3 linked regions of the Lepisosteus oculatus genome follow. The main gene of each other region encodes a partner of the protein of the gene in region 2 in a complex. Links are inferred from orthologs where the notes say so. Each region holds a gene or a part of one and is shown on either strand. Other genes may lie near its edges. The genes, in order: cwc22, bud13 and cwc27.

Region 1 (7,098 bases), on a different chromosome or scaffold from region 2:
AATTATTATTAACTCAAAGTAAATGTCTCACAATTCTGTTAAAAAATATGTCAGCATATTCAGCTTCAATAATTTTATGTCAGTCTTAGATGTCATTGCTGCTACAGAAGAGAATAGATTTTGCAAACATATCTAAAAGTATGTCCAAAATTCAGCAGCCAGAATCCTGACCAGATCTAGTGCAAGTGTTCACATTACTCCTATCCTGGAGTCCTTGCACTGGCTTCCGGTCAAATTCCGCGTAGACTTTAAAATCCTCATGCTCACCTACAAGGCTTTACATGGCTTGGCACCTCAATACCTGTCTGAACTTTTATCGCCCTACTCCCCACCTCGCAACCTCCGCTCTTCAAATTCTGCCCTCCTTACTGTCCCCCAAGCCCGTCTACATTGTATGGGCGACAGGGCCTTCGCCTGCTATGCCCCCAAGCTCTGGAACTCCTTGCCCAAGGATATTAGAGAGTCACCTTCTCTAAACTCCTTCAAATCCATACTCAAAACCCTCCTTTTCAGAAAAGCCTTTACTTAACTGGTTCCATTCTTCACCCCTCTGCTCTTCTTAATACCATCTTCCACGGTCTCCTCTATTGTTATTGTTGTATTGTTGTAATTATAATTGTGTCCTGTCTTGTGAAATTTTCTTATTTATTGTTGTAGTCTTCTTATTTATTGTTATTGTCATCCTGTAAAGCGCTTTGAGAAGCCACCTTTAAAGGCGCTATATAAAATAAAGTTTATTATTATTATTATAAAAGTCACACCTGCCTTTCAGTACCACCCATGAGATTTACACTTTTTAGACAGACTGCTTATTCCTTTCAAAACATTTTCTAAATAATAAGAATGCAAAACCATTTGAAAACATTCAGAATTTAATTCTACACTAAGATAACAAATAAAAAGATAACATTCCGACAAAACTAACACACACCCTTGACTTTTTTTACACTATTAGACTCAGTGATTTCCCCATGCTGTGACACTTCATTTCCTTAACTACATTTCCCTCACAATAAAATTCTATCTTTCCCACTCAATTTACCTGCGTTCAAAAATCAGTTCAGAATCTGCAGGTATGAGATGGAACTAGAATACCATCAGAGATGCTACATAAATTATATGTATAATGCAATCAAATTGATCTTGACGATAAAATGTTTGAAGATCTCACGGTTCACAACTGGTTTTGGTTCACAAAACCACAGGTATTGGGGAGAAAATTCAAACAACTTGTACTGTCTACATATTACACTAGTGAAAAGTAAAAGCAGTGCTAAGCAACAGCTGGCAATGTTCAATTTTGACGGGAGACCTCCTGGGAAAAACTAAGGTTGCTGCTGGAAGAGGTGTTAGTGGGGCCAGCAGGGGGCGCTCACCCTGTGGTCCACGTGGGTCCTAATGCCCCAGTATAGTGATGGGGACACTATACTGTAAAAAGGTGCCGTCCTTTGGATGAGACGTAAAACCGAGGTCCTGACTCTCTGTGGTCGTTAAAAATCCCAGGGTGTTTCTCGAAAAGAGTAGGGGTGTAACCCCGGCGTCCTGGCCAAATTTCCCATTGGCCTTAACCAATCATGGCCTCCTAATAATCCCATCTATGAATTGGCTTCATTACTCTCTGTTCTCCTCCCCACTAATAGCTGATGTGTGGTGAGCGTTCTGGCGCACTATGGCTGCCGTCGCATCATCCAGGTGGATGCTGCACATTGGTGGTGGTGGAGGGGAGACCCCATTACCTGTAAAGCGCTTTGAGTGGAGTGTCCAGAAAAGCGCTATATAAGTGTAAGCAATTATAATTATAATTATTATTATTATTATAATTTTAATTAGTGCTGCTATCTTATTTGACTATTTTATATTAATTGTATCAGAAAAATACGGATAAATACTTGAATTTTCAACACCAGTCCATTTGGCATTAACGTTTTCCTCCACCACAAAGCAAATGAAAGGGTGTTTTACATATAATCAATAAAATACATAAACGACATAAATTCACCATAAATGAACCCTATGGCCTTTACTGAACGATAAACAGTTATCGTTTAGAAAACGGGTAACTGACATGCTCACAATTCACTGAGGTAACTGAACTTCTCCTCATCAAATGGAGTATGCTGCTACTTCCAATATTCACAGCATGTAGGCCTACATTTCAGTTTATCTTGAGAAAATCCGCTAAGAGTGAAGCAGTGCCACAAGTGTATATTAACGGAAGGAAAAGCATCTACAATCTTCCTGGAACCAGTAACGCATCACAGACAGGACGAAATAAAACTCTTAATTGTTTTCCAAAACATTTTATACAACCACCGAATCTAAACCTGCACTAGAACTATCTATAAAAACTTCGTCGCCATAATTTGTGTACTTACGGATCTAGTATCCGAGGGAAAAATGGAATAAATATACCAACACCTGTTCCTATTAAATTCGGCCTAACAATAACAAAATGCGAGAAGCTTACGTACACTTTTCTAATATTGTTGATAACTAAGTTATCGTCTCTACAACTCCAGATTTACCTTAGATGATGCAGACAAACGCGTTTTATTCAACAATGTTTTAGTTATAAACTAACCAAAAATGCGTATACTAGTAATAGTTTATTTTCGACTAATTAAACCTGGGTCATATTAGTAACAGGGGAAAAAAAACTTTTTAAGCTAGGAAATGTATTAAAATCATAATGCAGAAATATTTTTAATAGTTTTTATACCCAAGGGAAGAAATGTTTACTTGCATTGCGCCATGTGTGACAGACCGGAGTTCTTTATAGTACAGGGAAGGCCTGTACACGTTTCGTCAATGCTTAACCTTACTACGACGATCAGAACGCCTAAACATTGAAGTGATATTATATAAATAATTTACCTATGAAACTATGACAACAATATCACTCAAAGAACATGAAAATACTTTATTTTTACCTCCTCTGTTGCAGTCAAGTCGCGTCTTGTTTCAATTTCAACTTCATTCGATTCCGCGGCCATCTTTCCTCAAGTGAAGATCACCTACGGATCCTTGTAGTGCTCAAACGGCACGAATTGGTGAGCCTCACACTACCTGCTACATCAGCAAAAGAACGCGAAATTCGAAATCACAGTACAGTGTATCGAAATCTAAAATAGACCGTTACTTTACCAGCACTATAGGGAGTGATAAAAAGATAGAGGTATTTGTGTTCTAGACAAGATTTAACTAACGTGTCTAGTGATTTTAAAGATCGTTAATTATTGTTTTCATCAGCAATTTGTAGATCATTTTTAAAGAAGATTTCAGTGTAGTCTACGAACACAGCACAGCCGGAAAGCTGCAACATACAAAAGAACAACAAAAAGACTGCTGTAAGTAGCAGTTGTATGACTTCTAACATTACAGTAATATTTTGAGCTGAATGCTTCACAGCAGCATTAACATCTTAGATCCTGACTTGATCTGATCTCAGATCTCAGAAGTCTGGTCATTTTTGGGATAAAGATACTAAAGATACCAAGGTTGCTGCTGTATGTGTTTTAAGTAGACCAGTAGGTGTAACTATTTCCTTTGAAGCATGATTTCTAAAACTAATACCCCAGTATGGCAATAAGGAATACTGTGCCGTACAAACTGCTTTTCTGTCCTGGCAGTTTGGTTGTTGTTAAAGTCCCTGGACACTGTTTGTGAGACTACGGGGATGAGCTCTGTTTCACTAGATAAGTTCCATTTTAGGTCTGCACAATTTGTACAACCTGAATTTTTTAATTTAATAGGTGAAGCATTTTCTCACTTCTCCCCCTGATCTGTTGTTTATGGGGCTAGTGGTGCAAAATGGGTGCCACACATTACCCAGTTGAATGCAGTTTTCCTTTGGTGGATAATATGGGTCCCTTCAAATATGTAAAGTTCTTTGGGGTGCAAAGTGGCACATAAATGCGACGAATTATGATTTTCCTATTTATTATGGATATATTGATAAGGCATTTGATTACTGCATATGGAGACATTGTATACTGTACATATTACAAAATATCCATGGTATATTATACTTTAAATCTTAACTAAAATACCTCCATTCTTTTCTCATTTTTAGCTTTAAGTATGAATGCTGAGAGAGATTTTATGTTACTTTGGGAAACCTGCTGAGCTGTTAACATATAAAATTGTGAGCTAATTAGCACTGTACAGTATGTGTAAATATGAAATATTATTAACAAGCACTGTTTATTTCTCTTTACCCTAAAGTTAGGTTTCCATTCATGTGTGTGCATGTTTCCTCCTCCATTTTGCCGATTTTCGTACAACCTAAAATGATGGTGTAATGCTTTTGAACCTAAAAAAGATTCTCCTTTAAGTACAGGATTTGCCATCACAGAAAAAATACAGTAAGAACAAAACATAGAAAATGACTCAATGAGTCAATGAGAGGAATAAATTCATACTCTATTTGTATAGGAATTCTCAACAAAATACTCCAGAAGAGCAGAATATTTTTTCAGTGTCTGTTCATGAGAAGAAGACGTTCACATTTAAGGCTGGAATACTGTCCTTTCTACTTTTTTAAGCTTTATTGAACAAAAAGAAAGAAAACCACAGGAGTCTTTGGAATAAAAGCTAAGATGTAATGGTTAAGCATTTGCTTACCCTGGGGCATTGGCCTTGTTTTCGTGGTTTACATGAAAACACATTTTTTATTGACAAGAAAAACTAGAGCAGGCTTTACATCATGGGGCAGAGGTGGCATTAATGATGAATCTCACATCCACTTTTATGGCAGTGTGTTCCCTAAGGAGACACTTTATGCTTTACGATGCTGCCAGTGAAGCTACTTTGGTGGAGTAAATGGTGTGGAAAGGACCAAAATATTCTTGATTTTCAAAAGAATAGCATTTTTTAACAGAGACATTCTTTTTGCACAGTTTACTTGAGAAATATTTTTTTTTACAACCATAAAGTCAGTAATGTCCATAGAACTGAAGCTATGAGTGGCGTTAATAATTTATTGTGTTAGCCTTTGGGTAATGCAAGGTGGCAATGCTCTGTGTATTGTGAAAAAAAATCCCAAATCTGTAGGACAGCAGCCTATACATAGCACAAAACCGGTATGACAGTATCTTGGACAGTTGACTTTCACAGAAATCGGTCAAGGACTGGTCACACATATGCAAAATAGGGCTCTTTAGCAGTTGCTGATCAGGTCAAGACCATAGGAGTGCCATGAATTGCACAGTTTCAAGCAAGATAGCTTTAGAAAGGTCATGGTGCTTATACAAGTCATAATGATACCATCATATACATATATTATACTAAGCTTTTATTAATAACATTGTGTTACAGACTAATCTGTTTGCTGAAATTATTATATAATCACTTTCAATGCAATCCATCAATCTGAACAGCCAGTGATTGCAGTTTTTACATCAACAACACTATTAAATATTTTACATGTCTCTGCTAGTCTAATTATGAGAAAAATAGCTACTTCCTAAGATTACCATTCCATGGAAAATGCTGGGTTTTATTTTTGCATGATCAATATAGCGCAATGAATTAATTTGCTCTAGTAGACATTTCTTAAGATAGGGAGTTGAGAAAATTGCTTAGAAACTGCCTTCCTTTTTCTTTCTTAATTAAGAACTTAAATAGCTGGAACCACATTTTAAGAAAGTTATTCAATGTTCTTGCATCTGGAAGAGATCTTAAGTAGAACATGTTCACAAAAGAGGATGTTCAAAAATACAACATCAGGTTCCATATAGGCAAGTGCAAATACTGATAGATTGAATGCAAGCATTGTACTATACTTAGAAAAAGGCCAACTGTGACATTTGAGCTTTTTCTATAGCAATGTCAAACACATGAATTTCTGTTCCATAGAAGATTCTCAAGATTATAGTCCATTTTAAAAATGAGGCCTTAAAACATCAACCTGTAATTGATTTTCATGCCAGGGAGAATTACAAAGGCTGAAAAACTACAACTCAAGTAAATGCAATAATAAAATAACATGTTTACATGCATGAAATACTATAGATTCCAGTGCAATACTACTGCAGTACTCATCTAAAATACAGTACAGGAACCGTATGAGTAGCTGTAACACTACGAGGAACAGCAATGCAATAGTTCAAAATTTAAAAAAATACATCAAATATACAGTGCCTTGCGAAAGTATTCGGCCCCCTTGAACTTTTCAACCTTTTGCCACATTTCAGGCTTCAAACATAAAGATATAAATTTTTTATTTTATGTGAAGAATCACCAACAAGTGGGACACAATTGTGAAGTGGAACGAAATCTATTGGATTTTTGAAACTTTTTTAACTAATAAAAAAATGAAAAGTGGGGCGTGCAAAATTATTCGGCCCCCTTGCGTTAATACTTTGTAGAGTCACCTTTTGCTGCGATTACAGCTGCAAGTCGCTTGGGCTATGTCTCTATCAGTTTTGCACATCGAGAGACTGAAATTCTTGCCCATTCTTCCTTGCAAAACAGCTCGAGCTCAGTGAGGTTGGATGGAGAGCGTTTGTGAACAGCAGTTTTCAGCTCTTTCCACAGATTCTCGATTGGATTCAGGTCTGGACTTTGACTTGGCCATTCAAACACCTGGATACGTTTATTTGTGAACCATTCCTTTGTAGATTTTGCTGTATGTTTGGGATCATTGTCTTGTTGGAAGATAAATCTCCTTCCCAGTTTCAGGTCTTTTGCAGACTCCAACAGGTTTTCATCCAGAATGGTCCTGTATTTGGCTGCATCCATCTTCCCCTCAATTTTAACCATCTTCCCTGTCCCTGCTGAAGAAAAGCAGGCCCAAACCATGATGCTGCCACCACCATGTTTGACAGTGGGGATGGTGTGTTGAGGGTGATGAGCTGTGTTGCTTTTACGCCAAACATATCGTTTTGCATTGTGGCCAAAAAGTTCAATTTTGGTTTCATCTGACCAGAGCACCTTCTTCCACATGTTTGGGGTGTCTCCCAGGTGGCTTGTGGCAAACTTTAGACGAGACTTTTTATGGATATCTTTGAGAAATGGCTTTCTTCTTGCCACTCTTCCATAAAGGCCAGATTTGTGCAGTGTAAGACTGATTGTTGTCCTATGGACAGACTCTCCCAC
Region 2 (7,005 bases):
AGATATTCAGAAAACAGACGTTTATAAGAAAATAAATATGAAATACAACTATAACTATTCAACTTTTAACAGTATTTTACTTAGAAGAACATGAATACTAACCTTAAATAAGAGTTTTACTCTGTCTTATATATAGTGCAACAGACAAATTAGTGCTTTTCAATTCTGTTCTTGAAAAGTATGCACAGCGCACTTAAACAAGAAACAAAACCTGAAGTTTCCCCTGAGTGACACAATGACAACGCAAACACTATCAAAAGGTTTACGTTCACAAGAGAAATCAAACTCATGCTGCTCGTATGTGACGTGACAAAGCTTTGAAAGCCATTAATTACCTTCAAACTTCCTGACCTGTAAGTGAATACCGGCTTTGCAGTCAAAACTGAGAACTATCTGACTATCTATGTACTAGCGTCCAGACAGAAACCTTCTTCCTGATACAATATTCCACTCTTTACATGGTGACGCAAAAGGTCTGTCACCTGCTGCTGATGGATATACACTGTGTGATGTATGTGCTATAGATTACTTTTTATACACAGCTTGACTCTCCAGAGACTTTTGTGATAAACTTATTCAAAACTGAACCAAGCCAGATGGTGTGATTTCATGCATCCCTACAGGGTCATGAATGGGAACTGGTATAAAATAATCAGATATCAAATGGCTTATTTCTAAAAATATTACACTGTACATAAGTAAAATTGCTCTTTACCTTTGTCTTTTTTCTTATGAGTTCTTGCTGGAGAGCCCCCGTGGCTTCTAACTGGGGGAGAAGGAGATGAGGAATAATGACGTGCTCTTCTGGGGACAGTTTTCTGTCTCGATGGGGAAAGGTCGGGAGAGTGGTGACGTCTCTTCCGCTGGGGTGAAAGGTCGGGAGAGTCGTGGCGACCTTTCCGCTGGGGTGAAAGGTCGGGAGAGTGGTGACGTCTCTTTCGCTGGGGTGAAAGGTCAGGAGAGTCGTGGCGACCTTTCCACTGGGGTGAAAGGTCGGGAGAGTCGTGGCGACCTTTCCGCTGGGGTGAAAGGTCAGGAGAGTCGTGGCGACCTTTCCGCTGGGGTGAAAGGTCGGGAGAGTCGTGGCGACCTTTCTGCTGGGGTGAAAGGTCGGGAGAGTCGTGGCGACCTTTCTGCTGGGGTGAAAGGTCGGGAGAGTCGTGGCGACCTTTCTGCTGGGGTGAAAGGTCGGGAGAGTCATGACGGCTCCTTTTCACAGAGGAAAAATCTGGAGAATCATGACGACCTTTTCTTGATGTCTCTTCTATTCTCTTTTGAGAGGCAGCTCCTGAACTGAAATGGACAATTACACAGATGAACTCAAATGTTACACACTTGTTTTAATGTATTCTGTTTTATGATCTGTAATGTTTTAGAAATATCCACATTTTAAGCACCAAAGAAACTCAATGACAGCTCATTATTGTCTCTTATACTCCAATACTGAAAGCCTGGACAAACAAATGCTCCTAACAGTGTTGCTTCTTGGGGGGCATTCTTCATTAATAATTTAACAGTGGAAGTGCCTCTTGTGAGTCAAAATGATCTCATAGCATTTGAGCTGCTTTAACAGACATGCATCGAACTGTACCACATACAAAGCCGAGACAATCATAAGAAAAATTAAAATACATTAAACATCAGTTCTGTACCTTGCTGATGAACGGACACCCTGGAACTTGTCTGAATCCTGAAAATCTTCATTAGTACCTAGAAGACCAAACATAATAATATTTGATAAAACTGCTTAGAAACTCAAATCAAATATTATGTATGCACCTAGACAATTACAGTACAACTTTATAGATGCTAAATCATCAGAATGCTAGCCCCAAAAGAGCAGGTAAGCATCGGTTACTCTTACCTCCCAAAGTTTTCCACCGCTTGCTGTTCCTGAACTCCTCCAGTCTCTTCACCTCCTCCGGACGCTCATCTATCACTTCTGCCACCTACAAGAGGAAGACGACAACAGAGCACGCAGAAGGAACAGCTTTTGTGCAAAGATTCTCCACAAGGTTCAGGACAGCAGAAATGCACCTAAACATAGTTTAAGCCAATGCATTTGTAAATGAATGTAAACTATAAAGGAATTCCTACCACTGGAGCCTCTTCTTCCTCCTCGTAGTCGTCCTTCTCTTCTGACTTTATCAGCTGCTTCCAGTCCACATCGTCATCCACTATTCTCATCCTGCAAGCAGCAGCAACAACAGGAGGGCAAAACGTAAAAAAAACAGCAGGAATGCTCTTTTTTGTAATCACCGACATGTAGCCTGCCACAAATAAAAACGCTTTAAAAAAAGAGTCATAGCTGTTGGTCTGTTGTGGATAAACAGGCGTGATCTATCAACTCTCCCTTGAACAGTATTGCGATAAATCGTCAAAAGCTCTTCTATGGACATAAACGTGTCTCTTAAAAGATTCCTAGAAATCCTTCTCAGTTCTCATTCAGGAAGCACTTTTTCCCCAATGAAAGGTGTCCAACAGGATCTTCTCTGCCGGACTCCTGAAGTTTTTAGAGAAAGACTGGTCCTACAATACCAGAGGAGCAGGAAAACATGTCCGACACAGAGATTAGCAGAGATCCTTTGCAGCTGAAAACACTGGACATGTTAGACCCAAATTACCTTGCGACCAATAATCCTCTTTCGAGTTTCCCACAACAGAACGATCAGACCCCACAGCACAGCTTCAAAAATACATTTCTCAAGACTTCCACAACCTGGGTTATTGAGAATATAACCTCACATATACAGTACTGTAGCGTTTTATGCGGCTCGTAGAGGTAAAATCAAGACAACGCTCTCGATTGCGCTCATACACTCCACTCCAGTATCTCAGTAAGTTTAGTCCGGCCTACAACTTTCAGTCACTTTCTGCATTTCTAATGTGCCTGATTGAGTCACTGGTTCCTGAAACATACCCCTTTGCTGTAGACTGCGGTCTTTTCTTCTTGGCTTTCTTGTTTTTTGACGTTTTGCCATCTCCATCTCCGGATAAATAGCGTTTGAGATACTCGGCTTTGGAGACAGAAGCAAGCGCACTGGAAGCGGCCATTACTGCTCGTGAAAACAATCCGGGCTGACGGAGAGCCGGATGGGGTCAAAACAGTAAACGCGAAAAAATAAACAGCGAAAAGCGGAATTACGAATAAGAGAAAAAGTAAAGGATAAATACTTCAAAGCAGCCACAACAAAACATAGGTATTATTATTAGTTTATTTGTAGTTGTATCTTAGAACATGCATTCTGAAAAAGTCTGCAGTGTTAAATCAAACTCACTTTTAGTGTTTTTATCCAATACTCGGACACAGTACTAGGTTATTACAATAATGTCTCACCCACAGAACTGAAACATAAATTGAAAGCTGTTTGTTTCTTTCATTGCTATACTTATTGCTCTAATGGAAACGTTGCCTAATCAAATATTTAAGACTAAAAACCAAAAAAGGAATATGATTAATAACATTCCAGGTATTCATAAAATTAGGCAGTGATACGCTTTTTTTTGCCACCAGTTATTGAGCTATATTTATTTTTTTAAATGTAATATTGATGTCACTCGTTTCAGAATGTTCATTTCTTACTCGTTCTAAACCGATGACATTGCTGCCTTGTGAAATAAAAAATAATATTTATTACTGAAGTATTAAATGTCCTAAAGTGTTTGGGGATGGACAATTTAATACACAGCTGTAAAAGCTATAAAACCTGCTGTTCTGTAGCATTTCAACGAGATTGCCCATCTGGGATGCATGTCTATTCTTCTCGAGGAGAGAGGAATATGAGGGGAGCTCATACAAGTATTCAAAATTCTCCAAGCTGCCGAAGGAGTTTTCTCAAGGGACTCCAAAACAAACAGTGAAACACAAGCCACAGGGACACAAGTGAAAACTCCAAGAACAGAAAACAGGAGAACTTGACGCCGATACTCTGGTTTCCTTCAAGAAATGGCTGGATGAGATTCTTCCAGATCAATTAACTAATAACTACCAAATGGGCTAATCACAGGGCATGGCCACCTCTTGTTTTAACAGTAACTGTTCTTATAATCTTATACTGTATTCTAATTAGTAATGACTAAATACTTAATGTTGCGTTTCCTCACAGAGTTGAACAGGTTGCTAAAATCAATGCTAAACAATCAGGGAAATCTGGTGTACAGATAAAAATATCTTTCTATTTGAACTCACATGTAAGTCTAAAACAAAGAACAAAACCTGGAGATTATCTTTACACCGTTAATAACCTACAGTATAATTCCTAATCAGAAACGGAAAACTATAAATATATTTTTATAGCGATCAGCCAACCCCACTGTTCAAAGTACAAAGTTGTACGGGTTGCTAAAATCAATGCTAAATGATCAGGGAAATCTGGTGTTCAGATGAAAATATCTTTCTGTTTAGCTGTTTAACTTTACTGTATGTCAGACTGTTGGTCTGTGTCTCTGTCTTCTCTGTCTATTGGAAGTGTATAAATCTAAGCAATGTCTTGAATTGTCAGCTCAAGTGAACAGCACAGACGGTATACAGTACTGTACTATTTAGAGGTCCGTGTGATCCAGGATGATTTTGAGGATATTAGACAAAGAATAAATTAACTCCATTTACTGTACATTGTTTTTGCATGTTCAGAAACTCATTTTTCTTTGGTGGAAAGGTTTCAGTTTCATTTCTTTGCTGTGACCAAGAGTACTGCTAAGGGTGTGGTTTTCTAATGGGGATTCCAACAATGTGGGCCTTGATATAATCTGTACAACAGGATGAATCACTCTGGATTGGAGCCATGCTGCTATCGTACTCCTGGGGAGGAAGCTGCACTCCGATTGCAGTATTAATGAAGACTCTCCAGCTTGTCATTGTAAATGAAAATGTGCTCTCAGCTGACTCATCTTGTTAAATAAGGTTTTATTTGATAAAAAAACGATTCTTCACTTATATCAGGTTGAATGTACTTTATATGATATGGAACAAGTAATAGGTTTATTCCATGCTGAAAAGAGAAGAGAGAAAACAGCAGCATGGAACAAACCTGTTACTTGTTCCTTTGCAGACTACGCATGCTGACGCAGCCCCCCACCTGGACTACCTGATATGCTACTTTATACTGTAACTGTGCCATTAGGTGTTGTCTACTACTGCAGTGTAGCACTTTTACACTTTTCATTTCATACAGAAATTCTGTAATTGTTATGGTGTTGACGTTTTCCTTAAAGCTTATCATTTTTGGCAGCCTTTACTTCTTCATCTATTTCTTTCTTTTCATTTTTAAAATGATATCTGGTTTTATTATGTATTCTGTATACTATACTTGTTTTTACTGTACAATGTATGAAAAGTGTCTTGAAAAGGCTCTATATAACAATAAAATAAATTGATGATAAAAATGTTTTAATTATTCAATAAGGATAAAATATACTGCTTTAATGAAGAACATAATTTGTTTTCTCTATTAATAACGAAATACCCAGAAATTTGGAAATCATGAGTGTCATGGATGAGATTGAATAAACTGTAATTGTATTTTTTTATTTGTTTTTATTTTGAAAGCCAATGTTTATATAATCTTGTTTTAACTTAATTTAGTCCAGATCTTTGGGCACAGTTAGGAGTATCGGTTTATAAAGTAAAATGGTTTCAGTTTCATTTCTTGACTGACACAAAGTTTTTTTTGTGGGGGTGTTTATTTTAATTTATAAGTACAGTGTGCATCTTATCACCAGTAAACATCTACATTAAACATTATTTACCTGACAAAGGTTTTTAAAATACTGTACTTAAAATCTTTCAAATGTATGTTAAGGTTTAATTGGATACCTAAACTACATCATATTATTCTCTCTCACATTGTGTTAATATATTTGGAAATAAAAGTTAAATCTAAGCAGAGGAAGGAAAACATGTAAAAGCCATTATCAAAAAGCAAAAGCAAAAAAAGTTCTTGAGAAGGTTATTGGCGATAAAAGATGAGTGTGTTCGTTTTTTCTTAAGGAAATGTGGCATTTTTCATATTCACATACACTTCTAAAACCTGCTTTTCTTTATCCCTCGATTGGTTTTGAGGACAGGAGTTTTATATATTAATACCATGTGTCCATACAGAAACTTTGAGACGTTTTTTTCTATAGAACAAAAAACTGTGTAACATCTTTATGTTCCTAATTTTAAATATCTGAAAGCAAAATATAGAAATTTAAGGTAAACGCAACTAACATTCTTCATGGGCAAATATTTTGAATATTTTTTGTAGGGAGGTATTTAAACACCCTTTCTTGGAAAATGACTTAACTGTTGGACTTTTTACAGTAAGACGACTCCACTGACTTCTTCCTCAAACATTTGATGGTCTTTTCATCTAGTAATTTTTCACTGAATTTCAAATGATGATAGTTTAAGTATTTTTAAAAGAATAAACAAATTATTTATTTCCATAAATAAGACTTTATTCAGAAGTTACATACAATTTTATAAATATCCCAATCTATACTACTTGATATAAATTAACATCTATTGATATCTAATATTCATGCTTTTATATATATATACACTGAAGTAGTTCACGTAGGGAGCTGCGTCTGCATATGTGGGCTGCAGAGGAAAAAGTACAGGTTTATTCCAGCTGAAAAGAGAAGAAAAGAAACATGTTTCGGCTGTGGAGCTTTGACCCACGAATATTATATATCAAGACTTTCTGAACAAGTTTTAATGTGATCATGTGTTAAAAATGGACTAAACTGTTTATTGGCAAGTCAGGTGTAAAAGGGTAACGAATATGATTAAGAATATTTTTCTGGAATTGTTTTTATGGAATTAACAGTAGCCCCCTCTGTTTGTTCACATTTTCTTTAGCAGTTTTGTGGGTATGGAGAGGGTGCACTGCTCGTTCATAATTTTAAATAAAACTTTGTTCGAGGAAAACAAGCGTCTAACGAGTCTGGTCATGAACATCTTCTTTTCCAGCCTCTATTGCTGTCAGAGCCTGCAGAGCTACACCGAGCCTGAAGATG
Region 3 (7,327 bases), on a different chromosome or scaffold from region 2:
AATATGTATAAATAAATCTACACAACTAAAATGTATAAATTGATTATAATCCTTAAATGCAAATGGTTGGTCATAAGGCCACAGAGGTACGGTTGACCTCCTATATCTTTGTTGCTGCAGATGTCAAGAATGGATTCCAAGTCCCAAATATCTGAATCAAGCATAAGTAATGTTTGATCTGCCACCTGTATGGAAACACTACAGCAGCAGGACTTATTTTGCATAGATTCTAGAGAGGAGCTACTGTACCTGACTATCCATACAGAAGCACTCGGAGGCCTGCTGGTATTCCATCCATTTTCTAATTGCTTTACCCAGTACAGGATCGTGGGAGAGCTGGAGCCTATCCCAGCAAGAAAAGGGTGCAAGGCAGGGTACACCCTGGACAGGACACAAGTCTATCACTGGGCAATAAGACACAGCCACGCATGCACTCACACCAGGGCCAATTTTCCCATGTTTAATGTTTAAACATTAGCATTTTGACATGTTTAAGCAACAGTTTTCTAACTGCTCCATCCATTACAGGGTGGCCAGCACATCTCAGGGCAGACACACAGATGCACACACTCACATCACACCAGTTTTTCCAGAAGCCGATTAACCTACCCATGCAAACACCGGGAAAACCTACAAACTCACAGATAACACCCAATGTCTGGAATTGAACCCAGGGCCCCAGCACTGTGAGGCAGCAATGCATGTGCTGAATGGGCTATCTCTGCAGATCTTCATCATTGATCTTAATTATCTGGCCTCGTCTTGTACTGATCCTGTCTTTCACTTTACACAATGTAAGCAAAAGCATAAGTCAGGATCTTGAGGTGGCATTTTCCTGGATTTTCGTTACTTCATTAATGTCTTCGGGCTGTGGGAGGAAACCGGAGCACCGAAAGAAAACCCACATGAACACAGGGAGAACATACAAACTCAGGAAACACATACAAACACCTCAGGAACTGAACCTAGGGCCTCACCGCTGTGAGGCAGCGCTGCTAACCACTGCACCACTGTGCAGCACACATGATAAGCCCCTGATACCCCTCCCACAGCTGTCTCTTGATGCATGTAGACAAGTTCAGCTCAGGTCATGAAGAACAATTAATGTTCCACTGTCCCACATCTGTCACTGAACCCTAATGCCCTTCTTTTTTCAACAGTTTATGTTACATTCTTCCTACACTTCTCTCCAGCCACATCTGCACAGGTTAGCTTTAAGATTTACAGCTGCCGGGAAGAGAGGAGAGACATGAAGCAAAAGTGCACCTTACCTTCCATACACAGCTGAAGAAAATTCCGGCATGCTTTTGGGGCTTCTTTAGACCAAAGCTCCACATCGATATCCCCAGCTGTTGTCTTTAATAAGACCTAAATGAAGCAACAATTTCTTTTACCTTACCAGTAAATGAATCTATTATTTAAGTTATATTTCAGTACATTATGAAGAATACAGTACAATTTTACATTAAACCTCAGATTTTCTTCTAAGAGGTGCAAAGTCACATTGGCCACAACACCTCATTTTAGCTAATCTCAGATCATTGGAAACATGACCCTCCTCTAACTGAAGCCTGAGAGATTTACATTAATAATAAAGAGGGGTCCAAGATGGGCCGAATTAGCCTTAAAGGTTTCTTATCATGCTAAGACCTGTTACTTCTGCAACAGACTGACCCGTCATTAACCTCAGTTAATGTCAGTAACCTCATCCTCAAAACCTCATTGTATTAATCTCACAACTTTATTAGACAGATCCATGTTTCTAAATAATAATCAATGTCATTAAGAAGAAAGATAATGACTGTGTGCAGCTATAAACTTCTGGAATAATAAATAATTTTAGCCTACATCTCTCACTCTACACTGACTACACAGTATGCCTTATCATATTCAACCACCAGCTCCCTGTTTAATAGCATCTGCATGGATTTTGTCAGTGATGGTCAGAAGGAGAAGGAAACATTAATCATTGCCGGTAAAAAGCAAAAACCAACTTTGGAGGACTTCTTTATTTGTTATTTTTCGCCCTTTCATTTTTGTTCTTATTAGACAATACCAAAAAAAATTTTTTACAAAAAATAAATTCCTACTAATATTCTTAACATCCAGTGCCATTCAAGTATGTCTCTAATGGGCCCCAAACATTCCTATACTCATGAACCTTCCCATGTAAATTATATTAAATCTCTTCAAATTGTACTTGTTATATAGCCTCTTTAGTCCATTTAGTCCACCTTTGATAAATCACCAAGGATACATGTAATGGGAGTAAGTGGAACTGAGATATTTAGGTGCCTGAGAGCTTTCCCCACTGTGGAGGTCCAGAACGACTGTATGTGCTGACAATACCATAAGTGCAATAATGATCCTTTATGTGTGTTACATTTGGAACACATTCCTGTATTATGCCACTTCATCTTTTTCACTTTTTTCTGGGGGTATAACAGAGTCTGTTTAAAATTTTGTACTGAAGCAGTTTGTTATGTATAGCTCTAAATGGATAACTAACATTATGCCACACAGTATCTGGAGTCAATGTTGAACTGAAGCAACACTTGTGCAAAAGAATTACCATGCTTGTTTTCCTAGAGCAACGAGCACACCAAATGAAGTTTTATGCAGGACAAAAGAGTAGGGAATTTAATGTTAAATTTACATACAGTATAGCACTGTAATATGGATAAACACTCACCTTGCCGTTAGTCGGGGGTTCTTGTATGTAAATGTTACTCATCTTGGTCCCTTATAGCTTAAAACAACACAAAAGCCCCACACCTTAAAAAATCGCCCGCGATGTTCAACAAAAATATATAAACTCTTTTAGATTCACACTGTGAAAATCCCACAATCAACCTAAATTGAACGAACAGACCACCATGTTGCTAAAGTATAAAAAAAAACTGGCTTAACCACAATAAGCAGGGGGTAACTAAAGAATATTAACGTTTAAGAAGTATTTTAAAGAACAGTTTTAATATTTAATACATTTTTTAAATTAGAAAGTTTGTTCGTCTCTATTTATGTGTAATAAAATGAAATGTATTACTTAAAGCATCATTTTAAATGTAGCCTTTGGTTTAGCCCTGTTTTCTCAGTGTTACACACTAAATACACCCCACGGAAACCATGTGAACTCCGCTGATTAACTTTTCATTCCTCTTCTTTTTCGGAAATGTGATGTTGTAATTTTGGAATAATGTGTATGTTAAACGTTATACAAGTTTGAAAGTTAATAAATTATAACCAGACAGTAACTAAGCCTCTGTAGTTTATCTGCAGTGTACTTTGTGTAACTGTGAGTTTAACATGAGTATTACAGTAATTCAAAATTATCGTCACGTCCTACTTTGCTACGTTCATACTTTTTGCTTTAAGAGAAGCAACAACAAATTGATATTATTTATGTTTTTTTTGTTTTATTACAAAAGTCTAAGATATTTAATATGATGTAATACAACAAGACGATGAAAGTGATTCTTGTTTCCTATGGGAGTGCATTAATTGGTGGAGCTTTCGGGAAGTTTTGAAAGTGAGGTATACGCTCTGAATTTCGGAAAGCTTTGGTTTTATTTTACGGATATCTTTGTCTCGCCATGGCTCTTCCAGGTTGTTATCTTTCGAATCTTTGAAAATCATCTTGTGTGAATGCGTGCTGACAGTATACGTTTGGGGGGGAAAGCAAATTAAGGTTTGGGGAAGATACTGTCTCTACGCCTGCAGTGAGAATTTTCTAGCAATCCTGAGCTACAGTAGCTGTGTTTTGGGACTCTGAAGTACAGCAAGACGTACTGTAACTAAGGATGTTCTCAGTTTAATAGATATATTTTTATATTTTAGTTTTCATCTTATAAGCTAATTCCAGAGTTTGCCTAAAGATATCTGAGTGACTGGAAGCATACAACAAATAAACGTAGTCTTTCGTGTGTTCAGTGCAGAAGTCATGTATAGTATAGAATGAATAACAGTAAATGCCTGGGGGTCCTTGTGTATTCTCAAAATCTGAGCACGCTGCCATCACGGATCAGAGATTTTTTTTAGGGTGATCATTAATAAGAATGTAAAAAGAGGTTGCAGACTTTAAGCGGCCATTCGGCCCCTGTAACGCATTTGGCAGTCAGTAGCTGAACCGAGGCTCTCGTCCGCTCATTCCTTTCAAGAATCCGGGTTTGTTTAGTGTAAAGATATTAACTGAAACTGTTTCTGGAGCCGTATCAGAGTATGATTGTTAGATTTACAGTTCACTACGTTAATTGGAGTTTAAAGGCACTGTACATCGAGTGATTATTCACATTATGTTTATGTTTTGCTTAATACGCTTTTCATTACTACAAGCTTTTACATCCTTTTTTAGGTTTAGTTAGTATAAGACTTAAACTGGTGTAATTTCAGCATCCGTGAGGGCTGATTTCAGGTGTGTGAAGAGAAATTTCTGTGTCGTCTGCTGGCATTTTAGGTCCATGTGACTGTCTTGTTTTGGTGTAAACTAGTTATTTTCCATTGATAGACTAGCTGTCACTGCCCTGTATAAGTCTGGAAAAAACATTGTTTAATAAGGGAACAATTTAATCACACTGGAATTACGATTCTGAGATTAGTATATGGTCTAATGTAATGTATCAAGGTGCTTCCGTCCTAAATAATTCTAAATTAAGTGCCTGACATTAGCTAGGTAATGTTAGGTATGTTTTTGTTTAAGCCACTGTCTGTTGTGTTCTGAATTGGGTGCTTAGAATCTTGGGCTTCTTGAATAAAGTAATCTGATAAATTAATAGTAATAATAATTATCTTTCAGATCATAGCTCAAGGCTTTACAAAAGAACAACACTGCTATTTTACCCCCATAAACCCATTTTCCACAGTTCTGGAAAAGATTTGAGAGAGTTTCTTGGCTGAATTAAAGTTAAAGTAGTCTGGTTTTGAGATTAAATGAGTGCAGTAGTGCTTGTCTCCAGTTGTAGTGAGATCATTTAGAACTTGAGTCACATCTTAATTAAAAATAAGGAAAATACTAAGTCTTAATATTTTAGCACAAAAAAGTTCTGAATAAATAAAACTAAATATAAACATAAATCTACATTATTTTTAACCAAGCAGTTATCAATTAAAGTCTAAACAAGACTGATACATTAACTTTGCAGCGCTTACAAAACCATGTGTGGCTGTTTCTTTTATGGTGTATTTAGCTCAGGAAGTCATTTTCTGTCTTCTATTAAATTTTTAATAGAACACATTGATTTTGAATTGTTACTCTGAAAGGTTGTACATATTTGCTATTGACTCATTACATAAAAACATGTTGAATGTCACAGTACATCACAGAGATCTTTGCTGTAAAGAAAGACGTTGCCAACCCACCATTGACTTGATGAACTGTCGTTTGGTTTTTCAGATAGTTCAGATTATATCTTTACATGTGCCATTTGTAGAGGTTTTTTTCATTGAAGGTTTTAACCTTCATTTTAGCAATTCTGGTTTTGAGATTAAATAAGTGCAGTAGTGCTTGTCTCCAGTTGTAGTGACATCATTTAGAACTTTAGTCACATCTTAATTAAAAATAAGGAAAATACTTAGTCTTAATATTTTAGCACAAAAAAGTTTTGAGTAAATAAAACGAAATATAAAACTTATATATTATTATATAGTATAATATAATCATAATCATTCTGAGAAATGGTCCTGTAGTGACTTACACACAATAATTTTGAAACATTTGATTCAGCTTTTGAATCTTGAACTTCGAAAGGCTTTTCACATTTTATATTTCCTTTCCTGAATACTTTATTCACCTCAGGAGGTATTATTTTAGTCTCCTTAAAAGGGTTTGGAAAAGAGCCCTTTTCAATAAGGTAATTTTCAGATGATTTTTGTTAAGAGCCTTTTTGCTACAGAAGGAGAAGTGTCTCCTGTCTAATAGTAGTGGAACAAAAAGGTAATTATGAAGGTGCAGTGCACTTACCTAGAAGCGTAAGGATTTCCTTTCTTGCTGTCTGTGTTTGATTAATGAATTCAAGCTTTGGAGTACTTGACCTTTTAACTGCAGAGAGGTACTTTAAATGTACGGTGCTTTACTGTGACAAAACTCCCCCAGAAGTTCAAGCTTCATCTTTGAGAGACACTTTGAAATTTTGAGGAAAGCTGAAAAAATGAAAAGGATTTCATAGTGCTTGAAATAATGTCACATTATTTCTCATTAAAGGTCCTAACAAGGATAATATCAGGGCAGGATGCAAGAAGTGTGGATACCGTGAGTATTTTCCTGTTGTTTCTCAAGATTTTTTCAGTAGATTTTTTTCCTGAAGAATGTATTAATGAGTTGTAGTCTTTAAAGGGAAATGTACTGTACCAGCATTAGATGGCATGGATAGTAAGTAATTTGTGTTTTGAATACCCATAGTGTTTTTAATGAGACTGTTGTGAAGGAAAGTATCTGGTTTTGCATCTAAAAATAAAACCATGTTTGAATTGAAATTTTATTTATTTTCTAGACAGGTTTTTGCATGAACATTATTTCAACTACTATTCTTCTACATTTCATGTACCCAATAATATTCTTTAACACTGTCTACTCACATAAAATGGCAACTGATGCAAACAACACCGGACTCTGTGGTCAGACATTCAGTTTTTTAAGTCTTTTCTCATTAAACTGTAGAACTGGAAGAATGTGGGAGGGAATCTTTGAATTTTGAGCTGCAAAGTGTTGTTTTCAGGATTTCACCTGAGGGTCTCTTGAGTATACACATCAGTTGTTATAAAATGTTCTTCAGGATTGCTGATGAAGCTCACAGACTGTTAATTGTAAAAGAGGATACATTATTTTGTCTTTTCACATTTCGGGCATTTGACAGATCGATTATTTTTCTGATGTCTTATCACAGGGGGTAACTTCTCACTTCTCATGTCCAGCTTTGGTTGTTTACGTTTCAGCTGGTCACTTGACCTTTGAGTGCCGAAACTTTGTGCGTGTGGATCCCAGGAAGGACATCGTCCTGGATGTGAGCAGCACCAGCAGTGAGGAGAGTGAGGAAGAGGAGCAGGAAGTTCTGAATGAACGAGTGCAGGCAAGCTCGACTGCGAAGAGTAAGTACCTGCCTGCTTCTGGATTGGATGCCAACAGCCCTACTAAATAAATCAATTAGGTGGACAAGTGAGAAAATGCATCCTCGATTGAATGAAGGGGAATACTGCATGTCTTTTAGAAAATTAGTGCAGACGTTTTGTATTTTGTGAAATTTTAACCTGTTCACAGCCAGGGTATTTGTTTTCTTTTTTTTTTCAGGTTTGACTTGACTTTCCATAGACATTTACAGTGGTGTGAAAAATTTTT

The links.
Region 1: bud13 (region 2) and cwc22 share a complex: the UniProt entries of both Homo sapiens proteins name them as parts of the minor spliceosome. The link is inferred for Lepisosteus oculatus from reciprocal best matches to the Homo sapiens genes BUD13 and CWC22.
Region 3: bud13 (region 2) and cwc27 share a complex: the UniProt entries of both Homo sapiens proteins name them as parts of the activated spliceosome. The link is inferred for Lepisosteus oculatus from reciprocal best matches to the Homo sapiens genes BUD13 and CWC27.

What each region holds. Positions count from the first base shown.
Region 1 is NC_090707.1:19,010,368-19,017,465, reverse strand, and holds the start of cwc22 (pre-mRNA-splicing factor CWC22 homolog), read right to left. Parts: upstream 3,021-7,098; 5' UTR 2,994-3,020; coding exon 2,931-2,993; intron 1-2,930. UniProt on the Homo sapiens protein: Required for pre-mRNA splicing as component of the spliceosome. As a component of the minor spliceosome, involved in the splicing of U12-type introns in pre-mRNAs. Promotes exon-junction complex (EJC) assembly.
Region 2 is NC_090718.1:5,138,981-5,145,985, forward strand, and holds the start of bud13 (BUD13 homolog), read right to left. Parts: upstream 3,068-7,005; 5' UTR 3,055-3,067; coding exon 2,921-3,054; intron 2,189-2,920; coding exon 2,098-2,188; intron 1,950-2,097; coding exon 1,865-1,949; intron 1,711-1,864; coding exon 1,653-1,710; intron 1,294-1,652; coding exon 716-1,293; intron 1-715. UniProt on the Homo sapiens protein: Involved in pre-mRNA splicing as component of the activated spliceosome. As a component of the minor spliceosome, involved in the splicing of U12-type introns in pre-mRNAs.
Region 3 is NC_090698.1:27,600,159-27,607,485, reverse strand, and holds the start of cwc27 (spliceosome-associated protein CWC27 homolog), read right to left. Parts: upstream 3,080-7,327; 5' UTR 2,735-3,079; coding exon 2,693-2,734; intron 1,369-2,692; coding exon 1,272-1,368; intron 1-1,271. Other genes in the region: protein SREK1IP1, read left to right, coding at 3,594-3,606, 6,197-6,244, 6,928-7,080. UniProt on the Homo sapiens protein: As part of the spliceosome, plays a role in pre-mRNA splicing. Probable inactive PPIase with no peptidyl-prolyl cis-trans isomerase activity. As a component of the minor spliceosome, involved in the splicing of U12-type introns in pre-mRNAs.